2 linked regions of the Anolis sagrei genome follow. The main gene of each other region encodes a partner of the protein of the gene in region 2 in a complex. Links are inferred from orthologs where the notes say so. Each region holds a gene or a part of one and is shown on either strand. Other genes may lie near its edges.

Region 1 (4,652 bases), on a different chromosome or scaffold from region 2:
GATAGAGCGGGGTAAAAATACAGTAAATAATGAAAATTGCAGTTTTACAAGACTTTTTGCCCTTTTTTTGTCCAAACTACACTTTTCATGATTCCACTTTGTTGAGCCATGGAAGTTAATGCTTGAGCTCCATTTCTTGAGCTCTCATGCTGTGATATGTCAGTAGTAACAAGAATGAACTGCTGTGAGAGCATTAGTTGAGCTACCCCCTATCCACCAAATTCATCTGAGAATTTTGGCCTGCAATACTGCTTCATGTCATCCTCCGCTTCCATAAAAAGCTGGTTTATAGGGAAATCATATAATTAGTCCAACTAGCCCACTACTATGTATTTCAGTTGCCTTTGACACTGCCATATATCCACCTTATCTGCTTTGAACTGGATTATAGGAGTCTACAGATAATCTGGATTTTATATGGTAGTGTAGAAGGGGCCTTGGAGGTGGGCAAATTGTGTCCATAGGCTTGCAGGGAGCTCCCTAAAACTGTTTCTGTAAGCTGTGTCTGCTCCTGAACCTTCCTTTCAGGCAGGAAAAAGGTAAATTGTTCCTCCTGGAACTCTCCAGGAGCAGACAGAGACCTTTAAAATCGAGTGTAGCTTTCCAATCCTTCATATCCACTTCTCTTTCCTTTTTCTTTTTTGGCAGCCTATGTGGCCAGTGGAGGATCCCTGGGTAGAAAATTATCCATGGATTCTGCATCCAAGTCTTGGAAATATTTTTAAAAATCACAACTCTGAAAATCAAACATCAATGTTGCCATTTTATATATTGGTCACCATTTTACTATACCATTGTACATATGGAATTTGAGCATCCATGGATTTTGCTATCCATGATGGAGGGGAAAGTCCTGGAACCAAACATCTTTCCTTCAGCATGGGACCCAATGTAACTTACTGCAAGAAAAGACAAAGCTAAAAAGTTGTTGATAAAATTTTCAAACATAACTAAACAAACTACCATATCAAAACGCCATTAATTTGAAAAGCATCATTTAAGATCATGATAAAGATAAAAAGTACAGTATATTCTGGCGTATAAGACTACTTTTTAACCCAAGAAAATCTTTGCAAAAGTCAGGGGTTGTCTTATACGCAGGTGTAGTCTTATGCATGGGAGTCGTCTTAACTCTATATTTTAACTGGAAAAGTTGGGGGTCGTCTTATACGCCCAGTCATCTTATATGCCGGAATATACGGTACCTCTTTCCAAGAAAAAGTCCCTTCTGCACAAGAAATTAATTGTCAAATCCTCCCGATGGAGATCAGATCTGCCCCTTCCCTCCTGACTTTCAGAAAGCTTGTAAAATCTTGGCTTTGGAACATAGCATTCTCAGAATTATGATCGAGTCAATAACTGCTGACCACATGGGCGGATGATGATGAATTTGTGATTACCTTGACGACTTGGCTATTTGATCTGTATTTTAATGTATTGTAATGTATTAATGTACTATGATGTTATTATGTTTTAGCTTATCTGTATATGAATTTCCTGTTGTTAGCCAGCCTGAGTCCCTCTTCGGAGGTCGAGAAGACCGGGTTATAAAAGCTCTAAATAATAATAAATAATAATAAATAAAATGGGTTTTTTTCCTGCCTGCAAAAAGGATAGCAGAGAAGGGGACAACCTAGAGAATTCTCTCTCCCATGTCCTCACCAGTTGGCCATGTGATGATTGTGGGACTGGGAGAAAGCCCTTCTAATTCTGTTATACCAGTCATGGGCAAACTTTGGCCCTCCGAGTGTTTTGGACTTCAACTCCCACAATTCTGAACAGTTTGTAGACTGTATTGTCGAAGGCTTTCATGGCTGGAATCACTAAGTTATTGTGGGTTTTTTCGGGCTATATGGCCATGTTCTAGAGGTATTTCTCCTGACGTTTCGCCTGCATCTATGGCAAGCATCCTCAGAGGTGAGGTCTGTTGGAACTGGGAAAAAGGGGTTTATATATCCCTTTTATATAAACCCCTTTTTCCCAGTTCCAACAGACCTCACCTCTGAGGATGCTTGCCATAGATGCAGGCAAAACGTCAGGAGAAATGCCTCTAAAACATGGCCATATAGCCCGAAAAAACCCACAAGAACTTAGTTTGTAGACTATTAGGAATTGTGGGAGTTGAAGTCCAAAACACCTGAGGGGCCAAAGTTTGAGCATGTCTGTTATGCACTAGGTTTACTGGGAAATAGTTGTAAGTGCCTTGCATAACTGAGCACTTTGAGGTATAATGTATTCATCTTACTCTAAAGCGGAAACAGTGGAACCTAATCATAGCAGAACCAGATAATCTCCTTTATTTACACAGTAAATGTAAGACTCCCAAGCTTTGCATAGATATTGTCCATAGTCCATCCATGAGAAAAATTCACTAAAAATTCACAGCAGAATAGTTTTCTGTGTATTTTACTGGGGAATACCCATGGATGGGAGATAAGTCCTCGTTTGCTCTATTTCCTTACCTTGAGAACCACGCAATTGATTTTTTCTTATTTGCCCCTTTTAACTGAATGCTTGCTTTACAAATAGGAAACTGAGACTGAAAGGGAAGAGATTGCTAAAGCAGTGAAGTCAATCCCATAAGAGTAGCATCATCATTGCCCACTGGCATACTTCCTTTGGTAAAAGCGGTGTTCCTCCCTCTTACTCCTTTCCTGGTTCCTTTCATGGGTCTCAGCCAATTGTTGACATCTCTTCCTACTACTACAGGATCTAGTTCTAGCTTTTCCTATCCCTTGAAGATCCCAGTTCCCTCTCCTTTTTCCCATCAGCCATGAAAATTGTTTTTCTCACTTACTTGTCTCCTTCTCGGTGCCTCCTCTCTGCATCACTTTGCAGCTGATACATTTTTCAATCAGACGGTCGTAGCATAGGCTATGGTGATGGCAGGTGGTGTTGGGACTGGAGTGGCTGCTTCTCTTCTTCCTCATGGCTGAGAGTCTTGTTTTCTTTTAAAGAACAGTTTAGGAAGATGAACTAAAGAGCTAACGATACAAATTTTGCCCAAAGGAGAAATCTCTGAACCGCTGAACCTTAAGGCCTCAGCAGATTCAACACTCTTGAGGTCTCATTTCCTCCCAGAGGCCCCGAAGGGTAGCAAGGGCAGATTTGCATGAGCAACCCCTCCTCATCCTGAGCCTCCCCAAGCATCCCTACATTGTTTTGCAGCAAAACCCATGTGAAAGTGATGCAGCACAATATATTCCGTTTCTTGTGACTTCCACAGTCTTTGATGTAGAGCCTTGCTGTGAGAAGCATTCCAAGACTGGGAATGTTCTTAAACACTGCAGACAGATTCAACCAGAAAAATCAGCAATAGCAGAACACATGATAAACAAAGCTGGGCATAGAATATTATTTGAGAACAAGGAAATTCTAGACTAATTTGACAACCACTATATCAAACAATACAATGAAGCCTTTGAAATCCACAAGCACATGGACAATTTCAACAGAAAGGAAGAAACCATGAAAATGAACAAAATTTGGCTACCAGTATTTAAAAAACCTCTAAAATTATAATAGTAAATAAAGAACACCACTGACACAGGAGGACTCCAGGTAGTAAGCAATTAAGGCCCAGTACACACCACCCAGGCAAAGGATGTTTCTAGGCAGCAAACAATTCAAAGGGAACAAAGGCCAGGTGACTTCCATGCAGATGTCCTACTCACATGCTAATGGGTGAATCCCACCCAAGACATTAAAATCTAGCTTGCTAATTGCACTCCTTACACTTGTTTAACATATGATGGTTCTTGCCTCCCACTTTGGACATTCCATGGGTAGATATACCCCACTTGCTTGATTACCACCAGCTCTTCTGAAGATGCGAGCCACAGATGCAGGTGAAACGTAAGGAGAAAATGCTGTTAGAGCATGGCCATACAGCCTGAATGAAGCAGAGAGTGTTTGAGGATCCGGACATCCATAGGGATACCAAGGTGCTTGTTTATAAAGCTATTGTCCTCCCAACCCTGCTATACGCATGCGAAACGGGGACTGTCTACAGACGTCACACTCAACTCCTGGAATGATTCCATCAGTGTTGCCTCCAAAAAATCCTGCAAATCTCTTGGAAAGACAGGCGGACAAATGTCAGTGTGCTGGAAGAAGCAAAGACCACCAGCATTGAAGTGATGCTCCTATGCAATCAACTCTGCTGGACTGGCTATATTGTCCAAATGCCCAGTCACCATCTCCCAAAGCGGTTACTCTACTCCCAACTCAAGAAAAGGAAATGGAATGTTGGTGGACAGGAAAAGAGATTTAAAAATGGGATTGAAGCTTAAAACTGTGGCATTGACACTGAGAACTGGGAAGTCCTGGCCCTTGAGCGCTCCTACTGGAGATCAGCTGTGACCAGCAGTGCTGTGGAATTTGAAGAGGCATGAATGGAGGCTGAAAGGGAGCAATGTGCTAAGAGAAAAGCGCATCAAGCTGATCCTGCAGATCAAGAATAGATCTCCACAGCCACCTACATATTCACCACTAAGTCACTAAACTTGGAGGGCCATCATCCTCAGACTACAAGGGATTGCTTCCGTAAGTAAAAGTAATACAGCCCAGAATCCACACAACATCACAGTGATTCCAACCATGAAAGCCTTTGACAATACATTCTTGAACTTTAATTTCCAGATTTTGCCTAT
Region 2 (4,652 bases):
CACTACATGGCTACCAACCTCCTCCCAGCAGACTCAAATCAAGGAAAAGCTTTATGAGAACTACCACTCCTCTTGGCGTCCCCCCAGCAACAGCAAGGGTATCCCTCTGGGCAGCTAAACCAGGAAATCCCAACTGTATGTCCCTCCACGAGGGTCTTCCAGGGGCAAACCAAGAATGGGCAACTTGGAAGTCCCTGAATAGACTCGGAAGCAGAGTGGGCAGATCAAAAGACAACCTGGCAAAATGGCACTACCTAAAAGAATTCCAAACCTTGTGTGACTGTGGAGCAGAACAGACAACTCCGCATCTGTATGCTTGTCCACTGTGCCCTGCCTCATGTATAGAGGAGGAATTGCTGGAGGCAACAGAGAATACTGTTGCCCGTTTTTGGTCAAAAGATATTTAGCCACCTGCGCGCCTTCTATTTTTATTAGTTTTTTACTAATTTATGCAATGCTTTTGATACAAAATAAATAAATAAACTTGGCAGCTATTTTGCCCTCTTTCTAGGAAGAGACAGAAGAAATGTTAGAAACTTGCTCTACAGATGTGAGGCCTATGACCATGTTATTGATGTGGAGCCTGTGGCTTTTCAGACTCTTCAAGTTCTACTTCCAGAGTGAACAAAAGGTAACCCTCCCCTCTCTTATGAAAGTGGGCATTTGTTGGGAAAACCTATCACGGCTTCTTCTTCCAACAAGAGAGGGAAGGCAAAAAGCTAGATAGGATGGGACAAGAAATAAGATTGGTTCACCTTCCACTTGAGGGATATATACAATTTTAAAATCTTTGATTTGTTATTCATAGCAAATATTTATTGAAGGTTTTCCCATTCAGCCTCTCAACATTCAACAAGGTGAGGTCAATAGTGATGGTACACCTCAGGCAGCAGAAGGCTTCTCATCTTTCTCTATTTTGAGAGTTGGTTGCTGGTCTCAAAATCTAGACTTGCGCTTGTATGCATCACCAGCTTCTTTCTCTACCTCCCCAACAATCTTGGCCTGTGCATCAACTGCCAAAAAATCCCAATTGACACCGACAGAAGACATTCTCTTCCATCTCCAAACTTTCCTTTTTAATATGATCAATTGCTTTATTAGGCCATTTGTTGTTGATGATGGCTACAGTTCCATTTGCATGTATTCATATGAGATCAGTCAAGTTATATAATTGCTATGCAAAGTGGACATGACAGCACTGGAATATTCCTGTATCTTTAGCAGCAGCATCAATAAGAGACAAACTCATCAGGTAGATACATTAGTGTATCTCATACAGGACATGCCCTTTTTCATCATGACAAGCCACGGCTGCCTTTACAGGGTGAAGAGTCTTATATCTCATTACAGAGTATAAGGCAGGTGATCTGCTGTGGAGCAGGATCTGCACATCAATGCTTTAGATGATGCGCATCAATGTTCCAGATGATGGAACCTGAAATCAAAAACATTTGGTACTAGACATCTTAAGCATTCTTGCTTCACATAACTAAAATCTAAAAGGGTGATATGAAGTTGGAACTGTGTGATCTAATGCTGAAACGTGTTTTGATGAACATTTTCCTGATAACTATGAATAAAGGGCATACAAAGACTAGATAAAATGCCATGTTGTCCTTGTCTCCATGGGCAATAGTATGGGATTATGGTATACAAATAAGGAAATAGGAATCTGCACTTACACTCTGGCATCTCTAGCACTGGACCTATCATGTAACTGACACAGAGAACACCCTAAAAAACACCCATGCAGGTCATCTAATGGATATTATACTCAATACTTTGGGAAAGTGTTTATTTTACCTCCCACCAGAATGCTCGAGGCAGGGATTTGAGTGATCCGGATGTCCCCTGGGCAATGTCCTTAAAGATGGCCAATTCGCTTACACCAGAAATGACTTTCACTTTCTCAAGTTGTTCCTGACATGGAAAAAAATCCCAATGTGATAAGGTCCCTGTTTAGTTTCTGTTTGGAGTAATAGCCTTTTCAGTGGCTACTCCCACCCTCTGGAATGACAAAAGAGGCAAGTATATGTTATCCTTTCTGCTTTGCCATGTTTGAATCAAAGGGCAAAACAATCCAAATTGCACAAATTGCACAAAACAGTTGGGCTAGCCACTTATAAAATGAATCTGAAACTGAAATGAGGAAGGTGTGTAGAGGAACAAAGCCACAAATTGTACAGTCGCACAACATTTAATGCTTTTATCAACAGGCCCATATAACAGGAAGTATATGTTGGCTGCACATTGTGGATGCAGCTGGCCAACTGGATCAATTCTTTGGAGTGAGAAACACCTGGCTTTCAAGACAGGAGTCAAGATGTTAATGGGTCACCGGCGAGGAAAGAGCAACCCCTCCCCTTCAGCATATGGTTCTAAGTACAAAGGGCTCTTGCTGATCTTGCTAGGGCTTGCAGTGCTTGTGTCTTCTTGTCTTGCAGCGGTCTCACTTTACTATGTTACTGTCTTGAAAACGGAACTAACCATTCTGACTAGCAAGCTAAACTCCAGAGTCCAAGCACGGCTTCCATCCTCACTGTCCTTGGGGTCTCTGGAGAAAAGGAAAGAGGCCAGTCCGTTCCTTCCCCACTGGAAGAAGTCGGAAGGTTCTACGAGCCAGGTGCGTTGTAAGGCTTCAGGGGGAGGTATTTGGATAGAGAAAAACTGGAATTGCAGCCTTAATGTATTGTGTTCTCATGCCATTGGTAGGGGGCTGCTTTCAGACCACATCCAAGTAGCCAAGAGGCCATGCGGAATGGAGAGCAACACAGGAAGAAAAGGTCTTCAGGTGAAACAGGTGAGAGATCTGGACAGAGAGGCCAGGTATGAGCTATTGGGAAACTGCCAAGGAAAGGGAATAAGAACTAACAAAGTGGTAGAGATTTGATTTGTTGAGATAACTGTACTTACTTTGTTTGGAGAGTGAAAAGGACCCAAAAATTGTGACAATCTGTATCTGGCAACTCTATTTGAAACACCGGCACAGTCTTGTGGTTTGCTACAGCTTTTTCCTTTGTCGAAAATGGGCAATCTGTTAAATTACACACATTCAGATATATCAAAATGCTTTATATAGAAACATTGGCTAAAACTGCACACCCTGTACAGTAAGTACCTGCTGCATTACTGTCTTAATTGTATTTTTCCTTTATTGCCATTACCATCATATGCTGGAAAGGTAGAACAGAAATGCAAGACTTAAATAATGGCTACTTTGATCAGTTGTAGGATATAACTATTGATCTACAGAAAGATATACCTGAAGACGTATGTGTGTCGCTATAACCATAAGCGCTGTTGAAAGAGAGTATATGCCATGTGTTTATCGACAACACATAGATTAGAAATATTTTATAAAGTGGCACAGTCCTTTGTTTTAGTCCAGCATGGTCTGTTACTCCAAACAAGCTGTTAGGCCAGAGAAATAGGGAGCATTGCTATGCTATGCCAGGCTGGTTCGTGGTGAATTTATTTGGTCTTAATGATCAAAATAATTAGATAATATTGAAGTCTAGGAACACTGCTACCACTGCTACCATTACGAAGTGTAACTGCTTTTCTGAATAATCAGGAACAGGGTCTGAGCTACTCTAGCACCCATCTCTTCTAAGGTTTCCGTAGAGGGAAAAACACCAGTCATTACATCTCTCCTGACACACAAGCAGAGAGAGATCTCAAAGCACACAGCACATACTCTCCATACTAAAGTGTCAGATTCAAAAAGGTATGCAGTGGAAAAATATCCATTTTAAACAACCAATCAGAAGGCGAGCAGAAACAGAGAGGAGAGAAGAAAAAAATACATTCCCAACTGTCATTCCGGAGACATGGTGGAAGGGAAACCCTTAGTCTATACCAGGGGTCCTCAAACTTTTTAAACAGAGGGCCAGGTCACAGTCCCTCAAACCGTTGGAGGGCCCGGATTATAATTTGAAAAAACCCATTAATAATAATAATAATAATAATAATAATAATAATAATAATAATCTTTATTTATACCCCACCACCATCTCCCCTATGGGGACAAGCCCAGACAACATGTTACAGCAAAATAAAACCAAAACATAAACAACAAGCAACGTCATCAAAATTACATAGAAAAAAAAGATATAAATACAGTAACAAAATAACATTACAATAAACACAATTGTGGTAACAGTGAATGAATTCCTATGCACACTGCACATATTTGTAGTGCAAAAAACCCCACTTAAAAACAATACAATAATTAAAATGAAGAACAATTTTAACAAATATAAACTTATTAGTATTTCAATGGGAAGTGTGGGCCTGCTTTTGGCTGATGAGATAGGATTGTTGTGTGCTTTCAAGTAGTTTCAGACTTAGGTTGACCCTGAGCGAGGGCCGGGTAAATGACCTTGGAGAGCCGTATCCGGCCCTCGGGCCTTAGTTTGAGGACCCCTGGTCTATACTAAGCTAACTAAACTGTTCTTCGTTGAGGACTTTGAGACTTGGGCAGTGTGGGTTTGAATTCCAATGGCATCCACCTACCTTCTAATTTAAATCTTTCTCTTTAGTGCTACAGTCATGTCTGCAACTGATGGCTGACAGCAAAAGGGACATCCAGCAAAATGGTAATGCAGTGTTCTCTTATTCTTGTGAGCAGTCTTCTGCAGTACTGTCCTATG

The links. The genes of interacting proteins can lie anywhere in the genome.
Region 1: the proteins of TNFSF13B (region 2) and tumor necrosis factor receptor superfamily member 13C-like are in contact, whole or in part, in a crystal structure (PDB 1OQE), measured with the Homo sapiens proteins. The link is inferred for Anolis sagrei from reciprocal best matches to the Homo sapiens genes TNFSF13B and TNFRSF13C. Residues at the interface, in NP_006564.1 of Homo sapiens: Ser162, Tyr163, Asp203, Thr205, Tyr206, Ala207, Met208, Gly209, His210, Leu211, Thr228, Arg231, Cys232, Ile233, Pro264, Arg265, Glu266, Asn267, Ala268; in NP_443177.1 of Homo sapiens: Asp26, Leu27, Leu28, Val29, Arg30, Val33, Leu37, Leu38, Arg39, Pro41, Arg42.

The regions. Positions count from the first base shown.
Region 1 is NC_090025.1:160,896,678-160,901,329, reverse strand, and holds the start of tumor necrosis factor receptor superfamily member 13C-like, read right to left. Parts: upstream 3,059-4,652; 5' UTR 2,931-3,058; coding exon 2,798-2,930; intron 1-2,797. UniProt on the Homo sapiens protein: B-cell receptor specific for TNFSF13B/TALL1/BAFF/BLyS. Promotes the survival of mature B-cells and the B-cell response.
Region 2 is NC_090021.1:150,058,754-150,063,405, reverse strand, and holds the start of TNFSF13B (tumor necrosis factor ligand superfamily member 13B), read left to right. Parts: upstream 1-1,425; 5' UTR 1,426-2,200; coding exon 2,201-2,623; intron 2,624-2,712; coding exon 2,713-2,800; intron 2,801-4,541; coding exon 4,542-4,598; intron 4,599-4,652. UniProt on the Homo sapiens protein: Cytokine that binds to TNFRSF13B/TACI and TNFRSF17/BCMA. TNFSF13/APRIL binds to the same 2 receptors. Together, they form a 2 ligands -2 receptors pathway involved in the stimulation of B- and T-cell function and the regulation of humoral immunity.